Linked DNA regions of Rattus norvegicus. The protein of the gene in region 2 interacts with the protein of the main gene of each other region in a biochemical or structural test. Links are inferred from orthologs where the notes say so. Each region holds a gene or a part of one and is shown on either strand. Other genes may lie near its edges. The genes, in order: Asb7 and Psrc1.

What was found.
Region 1: of the proteins of Psrc1 (region 2) and Asb7, one has a biochemical effect on the other in vitro, tested with the Homo sapiens proteins (2 studies listed by BioGRID, with this or other methods). The link is inferred for Rattus norvegicus from reciprocal best matches to the Homo sapiens genes PSRC1 and ASB7.

Annotation. Positions count from the first base shown.
Region 1 is NC_086019.1:129,642,389-129,655,003, forward strand, and holds part of Asb7 (ankyrin repeat and SOCS box protein 7), read right to left. Parts: intron 6,065-12,615; coding exon 5,459-6,064; coding exon of another isoform or gene 5,451-5,458; intron 1,055-5,450; coding exon of another isoform or gene 927-1,054; exon of another isoform or gene 816-926; intron 1-815. UniProt on the Homo sapiens protein: Probable substrate-recognition component of a SCF-like ECS (Elongin-Cullin-SOCS-box protein) E3 ubiquitin-protein ligase complex which mediates the ubiquitination and subsequent proteasomal degradation of target proteins.
Region 2 is NC_086020.1:198,709,376-198,720,634, reverse strand, and holds Psrc1 (proline/serine-rich coiled-coil protein 1), read right to left. Parts: upstream 10,087-11,259; 5' UTR 10,043-10,086; exon of another isoform or gene 10,001-10,042; coding exon of another isoform or gene 9,879-10,000; intron 9,716-9,878; coding exon of another isoform or gene 9,685-9,715; coding exon 9,666-9,684; intron 9,578-9,665; coding exon 9,520-9,577; intron 8,941-9,519; coding exon 8,502-8,940; intron 7,558-8,501; coding exon 7,443-7,557; intron 7,351-7,442; coding exon 7,114-7,350; intron 6,569-7,113; coding exon 6,451-6,568; coding exon of another isoform or gene 6,447-6,450; intron 6,257-6,446; coding exon 6,253-6,256; 3' UTR 5,643-6,252; downstream 1-5,642. Other genes in the region: Celsr2 (cadherin EGF LAG seven-pass G-type receptor 2 precursor), read left to right, coding at 1-31, 234-322, 426-608, 725-895, 991-1,225, 1,571-1,598. UniProt on the Homo sapiens protein: Required for normal progression through mitosis. Required for normal congress of chromosomes at the metaphase plate, and for normal rate of chromosomal segregation during anaphase. Plays a role in the regulation of mitotic spindle dynamics.

The DNA.
Region 1 (12,615 bases), on a different chromosome or scaffold from region 2:
CATGCAAGTGTAAGGCAAGCTTGCAGCTCATCCAGATTTTAACTTTAATCAAAACTACATTAAGGATTCTTCAAATTCTAAAACACGAGGCTGAGAAGATACCTTGAAAAAACCTGAATGTATTGCTGGGCATGTAGCCTGGTGATGGTGGCCATGGACTGATTACTGACTATGTCCATAGCCCAGGCTTTGATCCTCAGCACTGAAAATGTGGAAATTCCACAGTGCTCCATTCATACTGCTTAGCTGAAAGATGCCTCTGTACCTTTACAATAGGAATCTTTCAAGGAACTCGTGCTTGAGTTGGTTATATTGGTCTATATTTACCATAATAGTGATCAGTTCATCAGCTGACATAATTTTTATGAAAACAAGCAAAAACCAGAGTCTCTTTCCAGAACAAGATGGCTTCGAAGAGAGTGCTGTTTCTCCTTTCCTACAAATGTTTGCCTTCCATCTGCTCTGAACTTCAGTGTGCTAGCCTGATGCAGTGTGCTAGCTTCATTCAGATATGTTGCTAGGAAAGCAAGAAATACTTAGAACAGCCTTTTCCAGATAACCTTGAGACAGTGAGCTTTTTTCTTTTTCAGTCTGGTGTGTGTGTGTGTGTGTGTGTGTGTGTGTGTGTGTGTGTGTGTGTTGTGTGTGTGTGTGTGTTGTGTGTGTGTGTGTTGTGTGTGTGTGTTTGTGTATGTGTGTGTTGTGTGTGTGTGTGCGTGTGTACACGCATGTGCACATGTGTGTATTGCACACATATGTAAGTTCATGTGTGTAGAGGCCAGCAGTAAATACTGTCTTCCTCACTGCTCCTTCACCTTAGTTTTTGAGGCGGGGTCTCTCACTAAAGCTGGAGAGCAGCAGCAGCTGGCTGGGAGCTGGCCAGGAAGCCCCAGGGAGCCTCCTGTCTTCACTGGCCTGGCGCTGGGCTACAAGAGCACGCTACCGTGCCCAGCTTTATCTGGGTGCTGCTTATCCAAACTGATGGATGTCTCCATGCTTGCTGGGCAAACACTACAGCTGAGCCGTCTCCCCAGTCCCAACGGTGATACAGAATCTGAAATACATTGATGAACTTTTTGTACGTTTAGATTATAGTCCATTGGTATATCTTAAACTTTTAGTGGGCCTTTTGCCCATGCACACAGTAACATAAATTAGTCATCAGAAACACATGACACACTAGGTTTTCACATTGTTAGCCAATTTCATTATATAATAGCAAAAGAAATCACTTTTCTTAATATTCCCACTGGTCTCAGACAATCATTACACAGGCAGACTCTCAGAACGTAAATAAAAAGTTTTAAAACCCCTCTTTTCAAAGCTCACGTCTGACTGGTCATCAATACTGTGGTCATTTTCCTTAATGTGACAAGTGAACTTTGTTCGTTTCTAAGAAAAGTCCTGCTAAGTGCCCACGATTAAACGGTATAGTTTGGCTGTCAGTCAATCTTTCAAAGAGAAATGGTTCTCCATGCAAAAGCTGCTAGTCCCACCCAGACAGACCTGCCACTTTCCTACTAAGCTGCCTTCCTCCACAGAGCATTGCTAAGGTATGTGCACAAAGGGACAAGACTCAGTTCAGTTATGTTTACCACTTTGTCCAGGACGTTTGTAGATGGCTGCAATACTCATGACTGAGGTTGCCTGGCAGTGATGAAAACAGTGATTATTATCAGTGCCACACCAGCCAGACTGTCATGCCAACCTGGAAGCAGTTGCCCTCCAAGATCTGGACCGTATGCCCCTAAAGCCTCCTAGAAGCTCATCCTTTGGAAAAACACAACAAATAAACAAAACCCAGTTCTCAATGCCTCCCCCACACACACCTTCTCTCTTCTCTCCTTCATCCCTCCCTCCCTTCCTTTCCTTTCTAGTAATAGAAAACCACTGCCTATAAAAGTGGCTAATGGCAAGAATTTGGTTCAGTTCTCCCATTTTTTCAAGGAGGGCACCAATCACTGTGGGGTGAGTCTAGGGGCTGAAGAGCTTGCCTAGGGTCACAGGCAAGCTACTTGTGGCACTTTGTAGCACCCCATTCTGCTGGTTTGATGGCATCTCTGATAACGGGCACAGCTGGGAGCCTGTGATGAAGGAGAGACAGGAATCCTCAGCAGCTCACAGAACTGAAGCTAGGAAGCTCGCACACTTCAAATTAAAAAAAAAAGGTAAACCCAGACGGACGACCCATTCCAACTCTCACAGGCATCGAGCTTAGACGCCATCATTCCTGAGTCCATAAGGCAGAGAAATTGCTCAACCTTAAAAACTAAGACTGATTTTGGAGCAAGCAAAAAGACTGAAGCTGTAGGTGGAGCACCTTCATCCGAAGCTCTGGAGATTAGGATCAGCCCAGTGTGCTTACCTGAGCAAAGGCTCATAGACAGCAACACTGGAGGCTATGAACGGACAGGAAGTCAAGAGCCAGTCAAAGGAAGCCCTGCCAGGTCATAAGTGAGACCAATAAAGCACCTGGTGACTATATGACAGAAGAGGGTGTGTGCAACCAGCCCCCCAATCCTCTCCATAAGTAAGGCAAAGACCCCCAGAGAACGAACATGTCTCCAGCTCAGCCTCCTCAGCTTCCTAGCTCACCTGACAGGACTGAAGGCAGAGCTACCAGACGGTAGGTGAAAGCACTGTGAGGGCTGCAGCCTGGGACACGGGCCTGGGACACGGGCCACCTACAATACTGGACATCAGTAACTGTAGCAGCTGCCCTCCGGTGTAATAGCAGAGGGCAAGCCTGAGGAGGAGTCAAGGGGGTGAGGGTGAGAGCGGAGGAGGGGAAGAAACACAGACTTGGGAGAACTTAGCACACTGGGCTACCTGCAGTCACGTAGAACACAGCCCCATGCCCATCCAGATGAAGAGGAAGCCTCCCATAAGACTATTAGAGGTGAGGGTATGGTGGCTCAAACCTATAATCCCAGCACTAGGGAAGCAGAGGCAGGGATCTGCTGTAGGTCTGCAGATAGCAAGGCACAAGCCAGGCTAGATAGCCAGGACCATCTCAAAAGGACCAAAATAGAAAACATTAAATTAAGTAAGGGTGTGTACATGCACACACTATTAACCTGAATTCTTGCTGCTCTTTACATCATGCTTAGCTTAAAAAAAAACAACAAAACTACCACACCACACAAGGCAAGATACAAAGAAAAAGAGCCAACCAGACTGAGGCATGAAATGGATGTTGCAATTACTGTAAGCCAGAGAACCTAGAGTAACTGTGACTGAAGGAAGTTCCAACTGCTGCCCTAATGAAGCAGCGGTTCTGAGGAGGTAAGGTTCCCTCCCACACACCGTGCAGAGATGGCCAGGTGAGGACCAGACAACCAAGAAAAGCCCTGACTCTACTAGCCTGGACCCAGCTTTGACTGACTCTGTTTTCTGAGCAAGGCCCTCTCTGACCTAAGGGGAAACATTTACAAGGAGGGAACCCTCCAGGTCCCAGGCTCTTCCATAAAGCAGCCTCACCAACCACACGCAGAGGCCGTCCCTTTCAGGTGCTGTACTCTAGCTGGTTTCCATACTGTAAGCACAAGCAACTGCAGGTCACCAACTCTATTTATTTTGTATTTTAGAGACAGGGACTTGTGACTGTGGCCCATTCCTACACAGCCTGCCTGGCTTTGAACCCCAAATCCTCTTGTCTCAGTGAGGTGTGTACCACCACACTTAGCTAACGGCCCTTTCCAAGAAGTGGCTGGGGCATCAGAGGGGCCGCCTGACCCAGTCATCTAGTCTATACTCCAAGCTGGTGGATTTCTAGATGGGCCATTGTCCCAAACTACAATTTCTCTGTAATAAAATCCCAGGCATGAAGTCATAAAAATCTCATCTTTTTAATATCAAAGTTCCTGTCAGTCACTACCTGAGGTTATGCTCTCTCGTAGAATTTCTGTCTTTTGGGAAGATTTTGCATTCCGAGGGCCGGCTCAGCAGCACCGCTCTCACAGAAGACCTGGGTTCTCCTGACATCCAGGAGACAGCTAACAACCCCAGGAGCTCTAGTTCCAGAGGACCCAGTGCCTTCTGGCCTTGTTGGATTCTATACACACATGGTACACAGACGTATAGGCAGGCAAAATACCCAAACACACTGAGTAAAATAAATACATTCTAAAAACACCCCATATTCTAATAACTCTTTGGTCTGTACTTAGGTCACCTACACAGCTTTATACTGTGGTGAAGGAAGACTGAGAACGAAACCCTCAGCTAAATCATAACTAGCTCCTCTCGTGGGCTCCTTTATCAGTTAACCCTAACCTCAGGTTGCGCTACACTTTGAATATTTACAGTTATATAATTGTACTCTTTCAACAATATTTCTTCTGCTCCCTTCCATCTGTATAAATAAGTTCCTCTTTTGGTTTAGGAAAGCATTTTCAGAATTTGCTTTCCCCATCAGCTATAATGCAACCCCAAAAACCCAAGCACCCCAGACCCTCCCTCCCGGCTCTGTAATTATGTCCATGTGGGCACATAGACAAATTGTCCCACTCTCCCTTGCTCTAGCCTGGCCTAGGGGAGGGGCAGTTCCTCTCTTCAGGGCCTAGGGCTGTGTGTCCTCACTGCCATACTGCCCGGTCACTTCACACACCTCCATGTCTTCTGGGACATGCTTACTTGCTCCACTCCGTGGCTTTTTAAAAACTTAAAACTAAAACTGGCCTCTTATAAATGATAATTAGAGGCCAGCCTTCCTTCTGTAATCAAGATCATATGGGGAAAGGCATTGAGACTCTGACCAGCACAGCAGAGTTAATCAAAGGTGCTTACAGACGTCACCTCTGCCTCACACATTTACCTGTGATACATACACTGAGCTCGCAGGGAAGCCAGATAAGAGAAGGCAGCAAAGCCCACGCAAGCTAACACCTCCCTCAGAAAACGATGTGGCCACCAGCTGCTGCTGAGTTAGACGAGTTAGACACTTGAAGGTGTAAATGAAGGGTCTCTCAGAAGCTGGGCAGACGCTGATGTAAGCCGTGTGGCCTGGGGACCTGTGGCCTAGGTCCTAGTGTTTTCACACATCTTCCTTCGCCTCTCTTACTGGGGCCTCTAAACAATCCAGAGTGGCCCTGCTTTCATGTAGAACTTAGTAAGGAAGTGCAAAATTGTCCCCATAGCTAAGCAATCTGAGACCCCACCCTTCTAATTCTCCATCTGAGCCTGCTGTCTCAGCCAGGATATCACTCAGACCAGAGGGAACCACCTTATTCTAACATTCAGCTCCATTCACTCTGAAAACAGTGTCTGTCTTGACCCTGAACTTTACCGTCCACTTTTAGTAAACCAACAGGGTTTTGGATAGGTGAGTCTTACTTACCAAGCAGGACTGATAAGAATGGCTAGCTTCTAGTCATCTCATATTACAAAAGTATGTCAAGCAACTCAGAAGGCGCGGGTTAAGGGGAAAGATGCAATAATAGCAGTAGGTGTTACATACTTGTGACGTCTTGTAAGAAATCCAAACACGGCCGACTACTTCCTGAAATACTTATGGAAACGGCCAGTGGGGTCTGACCTTCATAGTTCCTTGTGTTCGTGTCCGCTCCATAGTTATACAGCATCCGTGCGCAGAGCACGTCATCACGGAGGGCAGACAAGTGTAAAGGAGTCTGTCCGTCTTCTAGGCGCCCCAAGTTTGTGTCTGCTCCTCTCTGAAGAAACATGCGGCAGTAAGAATGGTTGCTTTTGATCACAGCGTAGCGCAGCAGGAACCCATTCTGGATGTCGATGTTGGCACTGTGGTCCAGAAGGATTCTCACACAGCTCGACCTCTCTCGGATGATAGCAAGCTGAAGTGGCGTTGTTCCTTTATCACTGAGCGGGTCGACCTCGGCCTTGAACTCCAGGAGGAGCCGGACAAATGAGTCCCTACCGTAGTGGGCAGCCACATGGAGGGGAGTCCAGCCATCATTGCTTTTTGCATTAATAATGTCACTCCTGTATTCAGACTCCAGCATCAGGCGTGCGATCCGGGCCCGGCCGTGCATGGCTGCGTAGTGCAGAGCGGTGAAGCCTCCGATTAAATCCTTAACCGTGGGATCAGCTAGAGTTAAATCAAAATGAAAACATCAGTGGCTGTGGAGACAGAGCAACTCTATGAGGACAGAGTTCTCAGGCTGAGCCAGTTATCACAGACTGTGAAGGGTTAAGTGCAATGAGTGATGCTAAGGCCTCCCCAGGCTCCGGTGGAAAGCACACTCTAGTAGAAACTATCAGGCCTAAGTCAACGGGAGGAGGAGGGAGATGACCAACACTGTTTAAAGATAGACCCTGCAGCACCTCACCCTCCTGCTGGCCAGCCTGCGACTGTTCAGCCTCTGATTGGGGCCTGATTCACGGCCCCTTTGTCTCCAGCTATTTTCATGCCTTTCCCTTGTGCTACTTCTTGCCCTAAAGGGAGCGTGTGCAGCAACACTGCTGCTCTGAATTGCAGTACCCTGTGTTCAGCTGGACTTGTTCTAAAATTTCATAGGGGTTGGGGTGGGTGAAGGCAAAGAATGAAGGCGCCCTATGCTCCATGAAAGCAGCAGGTGAGACCCATGCTGAGTGGCACGGCATGATACAGCATGCTTGTGAGTACCACGGGACTGAGCTCAGTTACAGGTGGTCCTGCGGCGTAACAGCAAGAACTTTATTTGAAAAAAAATGGAAGAAACCTCAGTACAATATAAACATTGCTTTAAAAAGTAAGTTTTAAAGACTCCTAAATTAACAGATCCCTTGGAAGAAAACTTCATAGGAATCATCTGCTCAGTGACTCTTTGAGCTACAGACCTTTGCCACCTACTCTGGCTTTTCCACGGTGCCAAAGGTCAGCACTTTGTGGCTCACATCCCACTGATATCCCTGCGCTGTAGGTGGAGCAGAGACAAGAACTGCCTCCCCCACATAGTGGATCCGTGTTCTGGAAGCGCATAAAGCAGTTGAGGGAGAACACCCAGGTGGGCCCAGTGACAAGCATTAAAATGCTCCTTACGCAACTCAGCTCTTATTCACATATCCGTGGATGTTTCTCACAGGCACGAAACGACTCCAAAGCTATGTGGTTAAATATTTATGTACTATTTAATAAGATCGTATTATTTAGTTCCAGACTACAACAGCTGGATTCTCTTACAAGAGGCTGTGAGGCAGAAAATGATATGCTGAAATATTAATAACACCGCAGTGGATGAAAACTACAGTTAAAGAGTTGTTAGCAAACAGAACCTGTACAAGTAAACTATTACTTTAGCTCCTCGTAATATCTGACACAAAGTGACAGATAACAACCACCCAACAACAACAAAAAAGAAGGCCCCAGCAATGCATGGCTTTAACTAAAGGATATTCAGTACCTAGGGCTATGCAACAGGCAAGCTAGAACCCTGATGCAAAGCACTCTGCTGCCATCTACTGGAAGAGTGTGGTCATGCACTAGTCATCTTTCACTACAAGCCAGAGATCTCAGACCAAACTGATGGGTCTTTTAGATAGACCCTGCTGTTATCTAGATGAAGTGACTGCTGGAGAGATGGCTCAGTGGTCAAGAGCTGTTGCTGCTCTATCGGAGAACCTGGACCCAGTTCCCAGCACTCATATCAGACATCTCATAACCACTAGCTTCTTCAGCTTCAGGGGAAGCAACGCCCTCTTCTGGTCTCAGCAGGGATTGCATGCATATACATAAATCCATATCCCCCCCCCGGCCCCCCCACACACACCCCACAATGAAAAAACGCTGTCTTTAAGCTGTATCTGGCCACATATTTCCAGATAATCCCTCTTGATCCTTCAGCGATCTTGGGAACCCCTCCCTCCCACCTTTGAAGGTGCAATACCCTCACCCACACACTGCAGTCATTCTAGTGGACAAGTCAAGCTGCAGAGCTGTAACGAAGTGTTGCACATTTAATGTTCACTGCATGTGTAAGGCTCCGCTCACATTCTAGTGCTACACTGAAGTAAGAAGACACAGATTCTCACACAGAACAGTAGCCTGACTCATCTCTGCACAAATCACTCAAATGAACCAACCAACTGCATCCTGTGAACAAAGGACAGAAGCAAGAACTAGAGGGTAATAATGCATAAAAACTATAGCCGCTGTCCCCAGGAAAAGGTGACAACATGAAACAGGGCATGTGAGGGTGCAAAGAAAATGCACTTCAGATCAGTCAGTGCGATGCAGTGAGAGCTCACTTGCAGCACCAACAAAGTCTGCAGGACAGTGGTTTGTGAGAAATGCTTAACGCACGTACAAAAACCGCTTAACTGCATTTCCTGAAGTTTATTGCAATTTGTCTTTATCAGTGAGATTTCTGAGTGCTCTGCCTAAAATAATCAACCCCAACAAGCTTCTCCTCCTCCTTGCCAGATACTCCGCCCACCAAAGAGACCCATTTTAACAAATGGTAGGTAACATTGTAATGTAAACATGGAAACAGACTGTGTTTAAAAAACAGAGACACATCACTGAGCTGCCCGAGATGTTCTCTAAAAGCTTTAGCAACTGGAAGTGAGATTTGTGTATCAAGGGCACAGGTTGATGAGCTCCAAGAATTCACACGGCCACATTAACTAAAAGCACTCAACATTCACAACACTTTTGTCCTCTCAAATTTTCCCCATGCCTTTTACAACCAACTTCCTACCTAGATTCTGGGAACAAGGCAGATCTTTCCCCATGCCTTTTACAACCAACTTCCTACCTAGATTCTGGGAACAAGGCAGATCAAGGACAAAACTTTGGGTTTGTAGGCTTTCTCTAGAAAGGGGTCACCTGCGGAAGTGAGACTGGCTAATCCACTTAGCACATGCTTCTGAGCAGGACTGCCTTATTTGCGATGGGAGGCTCTGGGAGCAATGCTATCAGCCATGTCTCTTCTTCATAACAGAAGGGAATGGTGGACTCTGATGTCAAGAAGCCGCTGTGCAGCCTGCTGTCGGTGGCTACCCTGCCACTGTCCTTGCCAGCGAGGCTCCATGGCATCAGGACCACTTTTAAGTTTGCCCATTAAAAGGGTAAATGATGAGCTGTGTGCCGTCAATTCACATTTCAGGGATCTAGAGAGCTGGCCTACTTGTACGCTTTCCTGTGGATTATCTGTCAGTGTCTACTCATTTCCGCTGGGACGTCCTTCTATGGAGTTATAAAGGTTTGCATATTCTGCACATGGGCCAAGTAAAGGATGCTTATTCATGGATTTATCTTTGCAATGCTGGAGACTGAACACAGACAAGCACCCTACCACTGATCTACACTTGGCTCTCCTTGATTTCATCAAATTCACTTTCTTTTTTTAAGCATTTCCTAGATTTCTGCTTTGCTAAAGAAAACTTTGCCCAACACAACACTACAAGTTTTCATTTCTTCTAGATATTCTAGATATTCTGTACTTTATCTAGATATTCTGTACTTTAAACCCATAAACATAGGTCAATGATCTACTAGTAGTTAATACTTGTATATGGTATAAAGTAAGATCAAGGTTCATCATTTGCCATATGGCTATCTACCTGTTTGCTAAAATACTTTCTTTACAAATTAGGGAGCATGGGGACAATGGACAGGTAAACGTGCTTAACAAGAGAATACGATAACCTGAGTTCTAGTCCTAGATTTCAGTGAGAAAGAAGAAAATGGACACCTAAGGAACTAAGGTGTCTGCAGATCACTACGTGTACACACACACACACACACACACACACACACACACACACACACACACACACACACTATCCCCTCTGCTTAGACAAACACAAAGAAATATTTTTTCAATGATTTACCCTGCCTTTGCTGAAACTCATTTTATCATATTTCTGAATTATTCCATTTATCTAAAAATACTTCCTAGTTGGGTATGGTAGCACAAACTCAAAGATGGTGGCAGAAGGACGGTGAGTTTGAGGCCAGCCTGGGAACAGGTTCAAGGTCAGAATAAGCTAAGTATCAAAGCCCATGTCAATGGCACTCCAGGGATGAAGCTCAGTGGCATCAGGCTTACCCAGCATACACACGGCCCTTCGTCCAACCCCAGTATACAGAAAAAGATGCAATTGAACAAGAGTTTTGACCATGCCAATTCCAGACTGCTAACTATTGTAGCTTTGCAGCATGTCTGATATCGGGTAGTGTTAATTCCTCCAACTGTTCTAAAACTTATTTCAGCTAATACATTTTCAAGGTACATTTTTAGTTTCTTCATACAAGCCTGGCCTAATTTTTACTGTTCTAATTCCACCAACTTTACAGATGGCAAACTTCCCCAAATGATCTAAATAATACTAATTTTCCATGTAATGAACACAAAGACTTCTCTACTTTTTTACAACTTCTTTAATCCACCCCAGCAATGTTTCATATAGACAATATATTTAATTAAAATTACTATTAAAAACCTTAAATTGTTGCTATTATGGGCTGCTACTTCATCCTCCAGATGTTAACTGATGGCAGAACTTGAGTTTTGTAATACTGGTCTACAATCTAGTTCCATACATACTTTTAGTTTTCATACATTATGTGTGTGTGTGTGTGTGTGTGTGTGTGTGTGTGTGTGTGTGTGTATAGATAGATAGACAGATAGATGTGTATACATATATACATACAAATGTACACACATATACACATCAAGACAGTTTTACTTACACTTTTGATTTGCTATTACTAGTGTATGATACTGCGGAGACACATGCCAAGAACTGCTTATGAAGGTCAACTTCCAGGAGTCAGTTCTTTCCTTCCAGGGATCAAATTCAGAGCATCAGGTTTGTACAGCAAGTGCTTTTGAGCCATCTCGCTGGCCAGTAATGCTTTCACTTGTTCCTCTGTAATTGGTGTATTGGTCTTTTACTAAGAACATGTTGCATACAAATAATGAAAGCACACAAACTGTTCAACACTAAGTGTGAAGCCAGCTGCAGCTTCTCCTGGGTCCCTTCTGAGCTGCAGTCTTGCTTGCATCTTGAACAGGTAGTGTTGTCACAGGCTGTTAAGTGACCCTTTGGCACTTATCTTTGATTTAGCAAATGGCTCAAGGGTTGTGGATATTAAACAAACCTTGAATTTCTGATAAATGCTACCTAGCCATGTTGTAATACCCTTTGGAATGTTACTGGCCTTGCTACCAGATAGATGCTACCTAGCCACGCTGTAAGGCCCCTTAGCTAGTGTCTACTGGGAACCTGTGTTTGCTGCCCTAAGGCTGCTGCTCTGCGGCTTGTTTTCTGCCTGTAGCTTTGGTTTTACAGCAGGACATCACACTGCACAGTGAATTAGGTAGCGCCCCTTCCTCTAAAGAACGTATGCGGGATTACTGTTTGTGCCAGCAATATACAGAGCAAGCAAAGCGACTGGGCCTGGAGCTTTCTTAGTAGACGTTTTAAGAGGAAATCAAATTTTCAACTGTATAAACAATGACTAAGTCATTCTTTTTCTGTGGGTCACATAAAATTTTGGCAATTTGTATTTTCCAAGGAATGGAATTCTCTATGACATGAAGCTCACCACATTCCTAGATTTTGTTTAACATCTATAGCATCTGGGCCAGAGTCTGTTCCCAGCCCCGAAATTGGTTATGGCTTTCCTCATTTTCAGTCTAGCTACAGTTTTCAATTTTATTGACCTTTTCAAAGAATTACTTTTTTCTTTTATCTCCCATCAATTTTGCTCCCTTTCTATTAGACTGGGTTTTGTTTTTTCCCTTTTTAAAAATACTTTCTTATATTTTTAATGTCATCACAATTACATTATTTCCCCTTTCCTTATGGTTCCTCTAAACTCTCCCATACACCCTCCTCAGTCTTTTTCAAATTTATGAGCTCTGTTTATTAATGGTTATTACAGGCATGTGTGCACATGTATATTCCTATATCTAACCTGTCAGTATGTTACTTGTATGTCTGTACTCAGGCTGTCCACTTGGCATTAGATAAGTTGGTATGTTCCTCCTGGGGAAGACGGTTCTCCTGACCTTAGCCTTCCTTGGTTGCCTGTAGCTCTGGTGTTGGGTTGAGGCCTCGTGGTTTCTGTCTGCTTTGGCATGTCTGTTATTAAGCTCATGCTTAGAGTCATGTTAGTGAGGGTCTTAAGGATGTGACTTCTGCTAATACCAGGAGACACAATCTTAGAGCCAATTCCTGATCCTCTGGCTTCTACAATCTTTTCAGATCCTCTTCCTCGAGATTCACAGACCCTTCGGTGGGGGAAGTCATCCTGGAGATCTATCCAGTGGGAGTGGGACCTACAACTTCTCTGTTGCAAAGGGAAGGTTCCTCAATGAGGGTGAGGACTATACTTATCTGTGGGCATAAGGACTATGCTGGCCTAGTAAAGTGGCAGTTGCATGCTCTCCTCTGAGATCCATAACTTCACTAGGTCTTGGTAGTTGGCTAGGTTTCCAGTACCAGGCATGGTTTCCCTCTTGTTGAGTGAGCCTTAAGTCCAATTGGAGAGCTGCTGGTTACCACCAAGGTGTGTGTGCCATTACTGCAGCCTTATGGTTATCAATCCATGCTGGGCACTGGGGTGCACAGGCATCATAGCTGGGTAGGACTGTGGGTTGCTTCCTTTCTTTAGAGGCTTGTATGACACATGGTACCACGAGAGAGAGA
Region 2 (11,259 bases):
GTCAGCCCAGCTACATCCCCTTCTTGCTGAGGTGAGCCCGGGAAATGGGAGAGCTGGGAAAGAGGGAAAGACTGCATGCTAGAACCAAGGCCGGCCAGCTGCTAGGAGCCGAGTGTCTCAGACTGCGGCCAACACAGGTCACAGTTTAGAAGCAGTAAGGGACACAAGGTAGGGCCTGGGAATCTCACTAGAGAGGCCAGACTGACCCCTACAGCATAGTCTTGTCTTTTTAGGGAGGAGTCCACGCTGAACCCTGGCCAGGTTCCCCCTGGCCTAGGGGACCCAAGTGGCCTATTCATGGAAGGCCAAGCCCAGCAACACGGTGAGGACAGAGGCCTTAGATGCCTAGCAGGGCAGGGGCCTGGCTTTTGCTGAGGGCGGGCTGGGGCAGGTGGGACAGTTGTGATCCCTCCCTGACCTCCCAGATCCCGACACGGACTCTGACAGTGACCTGTCCCTGGAAGATGACCAGAGTGGTTCCTACGCTTCTACCCACTCATCAGACAGCGAGGAAGAGGAGGAGGAGGCCGCCTTCCCTGGCGAGCAGGGCTGGGACAGCCTGCTGGGTCCTGGAGCTGAGAGACTGCCCCTTCACAGTACCCCCAAGGGTGGGCCAGCACCAGGGCTGCAGCCATTGGGGGGGCAACGGAAGCCTAAGAGGCTAGGGCTTCTTGGCTATCCTGTCTACCCTCTCTGGGACTCATAGGCTTCCTTTCTTTGACAGATGGGGGTCCAGGGTCTGGGAAGGTCCCTTGGCCAGGAGACTTTGGGACCACAACAAAGGAGAATAGTGGTAGTGGGCCCCTTGAAGAGCGGCCACGGGAGAATGGAGATGCTCTAACTCGGGAAGGGTCTCTGGGACCCCTTCCGGGCCCTTCTACCCAACCTCACAAAGGTTAGTGAGGAGTCTCCTCCATCTGCTTCACTCTCGCATCCTCTTGCTGGAATTTTAGAATGCTCCATCTCATGGTACCCACACCTCTTACCCAGGCATCCTCAAGAAGAAGTGTCTGCCCACCATCAGCGAAAAGAGTAGCCTCCTAAGGTTGCCCCTGGAGCAGGGCACAGGGTCTTCCCGGGGCTCCACCGCCAGTGAGGGCAGCAGGAACGGACCTCCTCCACGCCCACCACCGCGCCAGTCTCTCCAGGAACAGCTGAATGGGGTCATGCCCATCGCCATGAGCATCAAGGCAGGCACTGTGGATGAGGACTCTTCTGGCTCCGAGTGAGTAGGGTTGGGTGGGAGGGGCGGGGCGTTACCTGCAGAGGTCCTCGCCGGCCCAGAGCTGCCTCGGCCTCACCAGGCTACTCTGCTTGCCACTTGAAAGAGTTAGTTGGGCTTAGTGGAGCCCAGCTCCCTTGTGCGCCCAGACAACATGGTGCTCTGTTGGGGGTGTACCAGACCCCCTGAGCTTTATGTGCAGCCGCCCGGCCGCAGTAGTGCGAGAGGGTGGGAGCTGGGGCTGCTTTTCTGTTTCTTTCTCTGGTGGAAGCTGCTCACTGTCCCCTCTGTTGCTCCAGCTAACCCTCTGTCTGCCTTCTCTGCCGCTCTCCTCTCCTGCCTCTCCAGATTTCTCTTCTTTAACTTCCTGCATTAACCCTGGGCCGGCGTTCCTTCGTCCCCTCCCCACGCTGCGCTCACGCCCCAATCCTGTCTTCTGCTTTATCCTGCCCCTGCTCCCTACCTCCTGCCTGCCTGCCTGCCTGCCGGAGCAGCAGCGACGGACCGTCCATCTGAGGAGCCTGGGCCTTGCACCTATAAGGCCATCTAGTGCCAAGTCTCCCCCCACCCCTCAACCTCCCCTTCACTGCACTTTGGACCCTTGGGGGCCAACATCTCCAAGACAAAGTTTTTCAGAAAAAAAAAAAAAAGGAAAAAAGAATTTTAAAAAGGATCTCCACTCTTCATGACTTCAGGGATTAATTTTTTTTTATACGCTGGAAATGGATTTCCCTTTCCCTTCCCAAAGAGGATAGGACCTCCCAGGATGTGTCCCAGCCTCTCTTCAGTTTCATCTGCTGTGCCTCTGGGAGGAGAGGGACTCTTAGGGGTCCTGCCCCTCATTTGCCATCACCAAAAGGAAAGGACAAAGCCACACCCACCAGGGGTTGGAGCCCCTGCAAGGCTGCACCAGCAGGCTGCACCGGAAGGACGGACAGGACAGAAAAAAAGGCACTTCCCACCCGCCAGTTCCACCTCTCCCAGGAACTGAAAAGCCCTGTCTGGCCAGGGGCAGAAGGACTCATGGCCCCTGGATCCCCCAAATGCTGCATGAACCGTTTTTTAAGGGGAAACCTGTGCCCCCGTGATGGGGAATGACAACCCCAGCCCCTCTCCTTTTCCTGGACTCTGGCCGAGTGCTACAGTCCAGGTGTTTGCTCAGTTCGCTGACCCCAAAGTGCTTCATTTCTCCTGCCCAACCTTGTAGGGAGGGCCAGTCACTGTTAAGTTGCGCTTCTTTGCTGTGTGGGCGGGCACCAGGAGGAACGAGGAAGCACAGAGCTGGCTTGGTGGCCCTGAGGGGCCTCGAGCACAGGTTTCAAGTCTGGGTTCTGGTGTCCACTCACCCCCTCCCCGCCAAATCAGACAAATGCCACTTTGTCTGACCTGCTGTGGCCTCTGAGACATGTTCTATTTTTAACCCCTTCCTGGAATTGGCTCTCTTCTTCAAAGAACCAGGTCCCCCGTTCCTCGTTGTCCCCCTACTTGACCCCAGTTCCCTGCGAAGAGAGAGTTAATATATTTTTTATTTATTTGGTTTTCTTTTTGTGTGTGTTGGGATGGGTTTGTGTCTGGTCCCAAGGGGTCTCATGTGGCCACCCCCAGGCTGGGTGCGTACCTGGCAGCCCTGGATTTGGGGCCTACCATCCTTCCTCTTGCTCCACTTACTCCCCTCGGTTCTTACCAGCCACCGTTCACTCGAGCCACCCTTCCCTCTGAGCATGTATTCCGGACTTGTCACTGACTTCCCCTTTAGAGCAGGTGGTAGAGTGAAGGCTCTCAGCAGGAAAGGTGTTCCTGCCCCTCACCTGGAAGGCTGGCCTCTGGCTTGTCTTCCATGGGTTCTCACCTGCCCTCTGCCCTCTCCCCTCAGCAATTCCTGTAAAGGGTTAAAAATTTAACTGGATTTTTTTTTTAAACTACTGATGACTTGACTTAAAAAAATACAAAGATACTGGATGCTAACTTGATACTAACCATCAGATTGTACAGTTTGATTGTTGCTGTAAATATGGTAGAGTTTTGTTTTTGTTTTGTTTTTCGCCCCCATACTACTGAATAAACTAGTTCTGTGCAGGAACCGTGCCATCACTGGCTTCTGTATAGCAGCCTTGGGCAGAGGCCTAGATTTTGGGAAACAGTTTAGGGAGAACCTTGAAGATTCCAAGGACAGAGAGACTAAAGCCTTATCAGCAGACCTTGAAGGAAGAGAAGACGGGTGGGTAGGTGGGTATTTCCCTCTCCTAAGATAACAGACTTGTATGCTGGAGAGACTACACAGAGAGCTGAAACAAGTGTTTTTAGGGCAGAATTCAGTAGAAAGGAAGGAATGAGAGTGAGAGTTTCTGGGGGCTTGTTTTCTTTTGCTTTTTGGGTTTTTTTGTTTTGTTTTGTTTTGTTTTGAGACAGGGTTTCTCTGTGTAGCCCTGTCTTCTCTGAAGCTCACTCTATAGATCAGGCTGGCCTCAAGCTCAGAGATCCGTCTGCCTCTGCCTCCCAAGTGCTGGGATAAAGTGTACCAGCACCACCTGGCTCTTGGGGACCATTGTGTTGTTTGTTTTGTTGGGGAAATGAAGCATATACTCATTCTGGGGACAAGCATGCTTGGTGACACTTCTAGTCTTACACATTTGTTTTTGAAAGGTCCAACCAACAAAACAGGGTTGATATATGAGCCACATGAAGGAGCCTGATTTGTCTGAGCTTTGGTTCCTCTGTGTACAAAACAAGGACGGTGGTAACAGCATCGGCCTAATTGAGCTTTTAGGAGGATTGAATAACTTAACACATGCAAAGTGCTTACAATTTTTCACAGTGCATAGCAACACTGGCTTTTCCTGTTGTTGCTTGTGGAGTGGAAGGGGTGTGGTGGGGAGAGAGCAAGTTAGAAATCCAAACCAGAGGGGAGGAGGCAAGCAGGTAGCTAAACAAGAAGGGCAGCTGTGGCAGGTAGGCACTACCGAGTGAATGCCTCTTCAGCAGCTTTAGAGCCAGGGAGCCCTGTGGGGTGGAGGTAGAAACTCAATATTGACCCAGCAAGAGAGAACGTGCCTTGCCCACTCCAGCCACCAGGTGGCAGCAACACGAGGGTTTGTGGCTGACTTTGCTTCACCACCTACAGGGGCTTGGCTCAAAAACCAAACAAAACCAGCCAAACAAAACCAACCTGCCACCTACTGGCCATGCCTAGGTGTGTGTTCTTAGGCTTGCAGCTACTACAGATCCAGTTAGGGGGGGAGGTTGCCAGCAACTCCTGTTCCTGGAGTTCTGTGCGGTGATTTATCCACTCAGATGGAGGCCCAGGAGATCAAGAGGACCCTGCTACAACTGGCGGGTAAGGTTGCCCTCTTTATAGCCCATCCAATAGACCTCCCCCTGGACTAGGCTGTTTGAAGGAAGAGGAGGTAGGCAGGAGTCTGGGAAACACCGGAGGCAAGAAAGCCTGGTGACACATTTGTTCAAAACACAACCCATGGCATCTGTGTATTCTCTCCCTCCCACAGGTCAGCTCTGAGAATTTCAGTGGCTGTAGAAACTGGTGTTCCAGATTCAGGGAAAGGGGAACGCAGAGGCGCACTGCTGTGTGTCTGTCTAGTCTCTATGCACTTAAGAGTGTATTAAATGAATCTTATGGTCAGCCATAGAAGAGGGTATGCTACGGAGGGCCCCTGATGGTGGGGACGGGGAAGACCGAAGGCCTAGGAGCACTTATGGGCACAGGCATGGGTGGACACAGTTGCCAGCCACCGGCTACTCCTCCTCCTCTGCTTAGTTACCTTTAGGAGAGTTTCTTCCTCATAAAGGGCTGATTTAGCTCTGCCTGCAAGTGTCAAAGGTTACAAACCAGGAGGAGGTCCTAAGCTGGACTTGTTAGAACCGTGTCCTGTTTTCAGTAAATACCAACCACCATGTGCTCATTCTATATGAGTTCAGTGCTCCACCCTGGACAAGGGCACAGGGAACATTTCTCAATTCTGATGCCAGTCCTCAAATCCAGTAGGGGAGCAGAGAAGGGAGCACAGACAACTCTAATGGTGTGAGGCAGATACTACTAGGCCTTCTGAGTCCGGCTGAAGCAACCTCAGAAACTGAACACCAACAAAGGGCCTCCTTATCCCCCAAGGGGTTCCACTGTCTTGTTAGAAATAATAGTGAAGTTTAAGATAGGAGTAACAGTAGACTTAGTTCCCAGCCTAACAGCCTCAGGCGCTGTAGATGAAGCTACAGTCAACTTTGAGCTGGACTATCTGTAGACATTAAACTGCAGAAAGGAGGCTTGAACCGGATCAAATGGCAACAAGGGACTAGTCACAGCTGGATGAGCTGGAGGTTGAAAGCCCTAGGGTCTATGTCTGGGGGAGGTCTCACTAGAATTACACAGATGTTTACTTTAAAAAATGTTAAAATCTACTTTTAGGTATAAAGAAAAACATTTTTAATTCATTTTATTTAAGAAAAAATATGAAGATGTGAGCTTATAACTGATTGGCCTGTGAGAGGTCACAGAATTCATAGGAAACAAGTTCTGCACACCAGCTGCCCTCTGGCCTTTCCAAACAAGCCAGAATCCAGTGAAGGAAGCCAGTCAGGAAGACCTGTCCTAGAGCCCAGGAAGACTGGCCGGTTCCTAAGGCCACTTCTATGGAAACAGCCAGTGGTCTGGGCAGAAGGTCAAGCTCTCTAGGCCTGACCACAAGATGGAAGGAGGCAGATAGGTCACTCTGCCTGCATTCATCATTTTGTTTGTGAATTTCTTCACGGGGGTGGGGGGTGGGTATGTGTGTGACCTCTGCCTCTCCCTTCTTCCTTCAGGCAGGGTCAGGGGTGTGTGTGGGGGATTTGAGTCTTCTCAAGTTCCACCCACCCCACCTCCATGGTCTCTACTTCAGAGATCAGCCTTGGAGGCACCTCTTCCTCCCATCTCTGGGCACGAATCACTGGAGTTAGGGACCGCTGGCAGGAGAGTCCAGCCTTTGATGGCTAAGATGTAGTGGCTTGCTTTTCAGTCTTTGTTTGCTGCCCTGATCTTCTTACCTGAAGACAGAGAGGGGTCTGCTTTAGGACACCTTCTTCCTCTTGAGCCTATCTGGTACCCAGCCAAGGTCACACCCCTCAGGATGGGGGAGAGCAGTGCCCTCTCCCCTCTCTTCCCCACTCCACACAAAATCCAAGGATGCTGCATAGCAGCTTGGAAGCTGGGGCGATGAGAACAGAGGAACCAGTCTTACCTCGTGGGTCCAGGGACTGCAGCTTTCCTGAGGGGCTGCACCCTGCCTCGAGCGGCACTGGAGGTCCTGCCTCGAGCAGCACCAATGGTTGGAAGATTTGTTCGCTGGGAAACAGGAGCTTGAGGGGGATTAACAAGAGATGAGTCAGAGCCAAGCTCAGCTGACCTCATCAGAAGGAAAGACTGGATGAAGTTATGCACTTCCTAACCAAGATAAAACTGGGAGCTACGTGGAAAGCAAGGTGCTCCCTCCTTCAGTTTTCCTAGCTGAAGTAGTGTCACAGCAGTTAAGCTGTAGGGGGGTAAGGTCAAGCTGGGTCACAGCAGACATTCTTCTATCTAAGGTCCTCTGTTTCATTTTGTTTCCTTGATTTTTGAGACAGGATCTCCCTATAATAGCTATGGCTGTCCTGGAACTCACTCTGTATACCAGACTGGTCCTGAACTTACAAATCTGCCTCTGCCTCCCAAGTGCTGGGACTACAGGCATGGACCATCATGCCTACCTCTAATTTTTTTTTTCTTTCTCTCTTGAGACATGGTTTGCTATAGCTAAGGCTGACCTTGAACTTCTTATTCTCTGGCGCCTACGCTCCGAGTGCTGAGACTGCAGAAATGTGCTGCTGTGCTTAACCTGACCATTAGCCCGTCCACGCTATCTTACCTCTGTGCCCTACGGTGCTTGGATGCCCTTTCTGAGTTGGGAGAGGATCAGGAGCTAGGGCACCTTTGCCAGCCGGTATACTCCGTCCAGTGAGTGGCATTCGGATGGCAGGCTTGGGGATGGCTGAGGGAAATGGTAGTCGACTTGAAGACTTGGCAGCTGCTCCCTGCAGCCAGGAAGAGCACTGGGAGTTGCTAGCTGAGGACTGTGGAGCTGGCCTGACAGGGATTGGTGGGCCTGTAGACAGGAGTATACACATGTCAGGGTGGGTCCCAGCTCCTCTCGCCCCCTTATCAGCTTCACCCACATCTGTGCTGCCCAGGTCTCACTTGCTACTGTCCGTGCGCCGGACCCAGTTTTCCGCCGAGGAGGAAGAGTTGGTTGTGCAAGAGGAGAACGCCCTGGGTTTTTGGATGCAGAGAACAGATTGCAAGTGGGTGATTCCTGAAACAGAACAAGGAACAAAAAAAGGATTAGAATGGTGACAGGATGTGTATGCTGCCTTAAGGCATTAAGGAAAGGAGATAGGCGGTAGGGCGTTGTCTGGAACCTGTGAGGAAGACACCAGCAAGATCTGTGCTAGGCGCTTTCTTTCTTCCCTTCTCTTTCTTCCTTCCTATCTCTCTCTCTCTCTCTCTCTCTCTCTCTCTCTCTCTCTTTCTTTCTTTCTTTCTTTCTTTCTAAGCATAGTTTCTCTGTGTAGCCCTGGCTGTCCTGGAACTCACTCTGTAGACCAGGCTGTCCTCAAACTCACAAATTCACCTGCCCCTGCCTCTAGAGTATAGGGATTAAAGGCGTGCCGCCGCCGCCGCCACCACCACCACCACCACCACCCAGTTACTTTCTTTTTTTAAAGTCATTTTATATTCATTTATTTACTGTGCGTGACATACACATATATGGCACATGCATGTGGAAGTCAGAAGACGCTGTGTGGGAGTGTGCCCATTATGTAGGGAGTCCTCACATGTAGGTTACAGAGAGGGCTCATCAGCCCTGATGGAAAGTGGTGTTATCAGGCCATCTTACCAGCCTTACTATTTTTTGAAATGAGGGAGTCAAGTGGCCCACGTTGGTCTCAAGTTCGGCATATAGGTCCCTGTGGATGACCTTGAATCCCTGATCTTCCTGGCTCTATCTCCAGAGTCTTGGATCACAGTATGTACTTGTTCTTTTACATTAGTCATGTGATGCTGGGGAATCCAACCCAGGGCTTTGTTTGGGCTAGGCTACGTCTGGCTGTGTCTCCAGCCCTGTTTACTTAATCCTAAGAATCTCAGGGGTAGAATAACTGTCTCCCTCTGCCCAGGAAGAGAACCACGCTGTGCCTTCAGTGTCTCCTGCACTTGGTGTAGGTGCACGCACGCAATTCCACCCTCCGCACTCACCTTCTTTATACTGGAGGGCTTCTTCCCAGCTGTCACCCGACCAGCTCTGGCTGACCCCTTTTTATCACTGCTCCGGAGCCCAGTTAAGTTGCTTGGAGGTGGGGCACTCCAAGAACTCACAGTGGGCAGCAGATCTCGGACAGGGCTGTCCTTTAGGACAAATGTCTCCCGCCGAGGGCTGGGTTTCCCTCTGGGGCTGGGCCTCCCAGGGCCTGCGGCAGCATTCTCGCTGTCTTTCAGGGCACACTCCTCTAGCTGAGCTGCCAGGCGGTTGGCTTCATCAAGGATCTCCTCCAGCTTCTCTGGGCTGAGCGGGCCTAAGCTGAACCTCACACCCTGGAGGGCGGGAGCTACTGCGTTTGGGTTACTCCGATGGGAGAGGCCGCGTCGGAGTGGTTTCTCTGGACTCACTAATACTGTGATGTCTTCTTCCTCGTGACTGAAAAAACAAATATGGCACCATGCTGGACAACAGAGAGCAGAAGGCATTCCTGTAGATGACTCGGGGACAGTCCCAAACCCTGACTCCGTTTTGGCCATTAGAACTGCACTTAGCTGAGGAAAACTTGGTTCTGGGAGGCCCTGCAAGTCTTTAGCGTCTCCTGTTTTCTTTTCATTTCTACTCCCCACTTTCTGAGACAAGGTCTCAACTCTGTAGACCAGAATGATCTCAAATTCAACTCTCTGCATTCCCTCTCCCTCCCTCCCTCTCTGTACCCTCTTCTATCCTGGGGTGCGGAGGTGGGAGGTGGTCTGCAGGGCATGTCTCAACATGCCCAAGCACATTTACTCTTCGTTTACATTTACCCCTAAATTTCCCTCCATCCTCTCCCTTCTCCTCACCAGCATGCAGAGATGTATCCTAGAGGCCCAATTCTCCCAGACTGCGGGCACCAGAGCATACTATACTCTGCTAAATCACCAACCACGGTTCTTGAGGTCAGTAAGTTAGCAGTAAAGGTTACAGATAAAGATGTATTGTTGGAGGGAGATAATAAATGGATAAATTGACTGGTACCTGTCAGATGGGGACAGCCCTCCAAAGTCCAAGGTCTCATCCACGATGAACTTGATATCTGAAGGGATAAGAAAAATAAATGCCAGCTCTCAGTTCTTGACAGACAGATTCTGAGGGCCTCGTTCCTCCCTCCATGGCTTCCTTACCCTCTTTCAAATCCTCCATGCCCAGCCAGCATAAGCGAGTCAGCTTAGACCTGAAAGACAACATGCCTATCTTAGCGCCCCATCTAGACTCGGGGTGCATTAGCTGGGGTGAAGAGCCATGGTGGTGGGAAAGCAAGATCACTGGAACAGCACGTGCCCCTGAAACTAGTCGGTTATAATAGGGAAAGAGGCAGAAAGCTCGTGCCCCAACACCTGCAATCCGCCAATTTGCGCCCTGGCCTCTCCTCAGTCTGGCAGTCTCCACCTCCATCCTTATTATTATCCGGAATTTTCCTCCCCCTACCCCGGCCATCTTCCACTCCGCCGCACCACATCCCCGCCACACCTCCAGCGCACACTCCGTTTCCACTTCCCACCTCGCCTCAAGGTTTACGCAGGAAGCTTTTCTTCTACAATCTCCTAGTTCCCGGGAATAGGCTCCCGAGGGGTGGAGCTTCGTTCGAATTTCTTAGGCCCCGCCCACTCCCGCCACCAACGCACAGCGATTGGCGGGTCTACGGGGGCGGGGCTGAGGCGGGAGCTGTCGGGACGTCAGTCGGAGAAATTTGTCCCTTGGATCGAAGCGCACTTCCCAAAAAAGACTCCTGGGGGAGGTGGGGGGGGTACGGTGGGGGTGGCGGGAGGAGCCGCGAGTGCGCGGTGGCGCGTTCGGGAGCGCCTCCTTTTAGCCGCGAGCCGAACAAGGAGAGAACTGCCCAACCAACATGGGCTTGGAGCCCCGCCTCTTCTCCCACCCCATCTCCTGGATTCCAGGCTCAGGGTTTGGGGCTCGCTGCTGGGTTTCTGGCTTACTTGCAGAGGCCACCAAATAGACCATTTCTCCAGCACCTGAAGCACAAGAATTCTTCATTTAGCACAAGATCACTTCTCTGAGATAATCTGATATTTTTTCTTTCTGCTTCAACCACGACCCCAAAACGATGACTGTGAACAGCTATTTAAGGGTCTGACAAAGAAATCATGCTTCCAGGCACACAGTAGGTAGTAAAAATAATAAAAGATTTCAGGGCAATGCTCTCTAAGTGCAAAATGGATTGCCTATCGCTAGGGATCTTGTTCGTGTGAGGATTATGTTCCTTCTTCAGAATGCTGGAGACCGTGAACTTTAATGGTGGGCCCATGAAAAGTTCAGCAGATCCTTGGGGCACAGTCACCTTCCACCCTAGCCCTGCTTCAAGTGGAAAGAAACCTTTACTGTTGTGAGTGTTGTTAACTGGCTATGACCTGACTGACCACTCTTTTCCATTCATTGATACACACGCATGCACACATATACCATCTCTTTCGTTCCCCTTTATATGTAGCTCACACGGGCCGTGAATTCACCATATAGCCAAGGATGATGTTGAAATCCTGCGTCTACCTCCCAAGTGCTGGGATTAAAGGCCTGTGCCACTATCCTGTGGATCATCCTCGAGACAGCTCCAAATGTCTTCAGGAGTTCTGTTGTGCATCCTCTGGAAAGACCATCACGGCTGGGCCTGTGGACTGTTTACCTTCCCTCATAGAAGGAAGAGATGGGGCGGAAGGTCATGGACCTTCACTTGAGTATGCAGCCATCCCTCTCAACCAA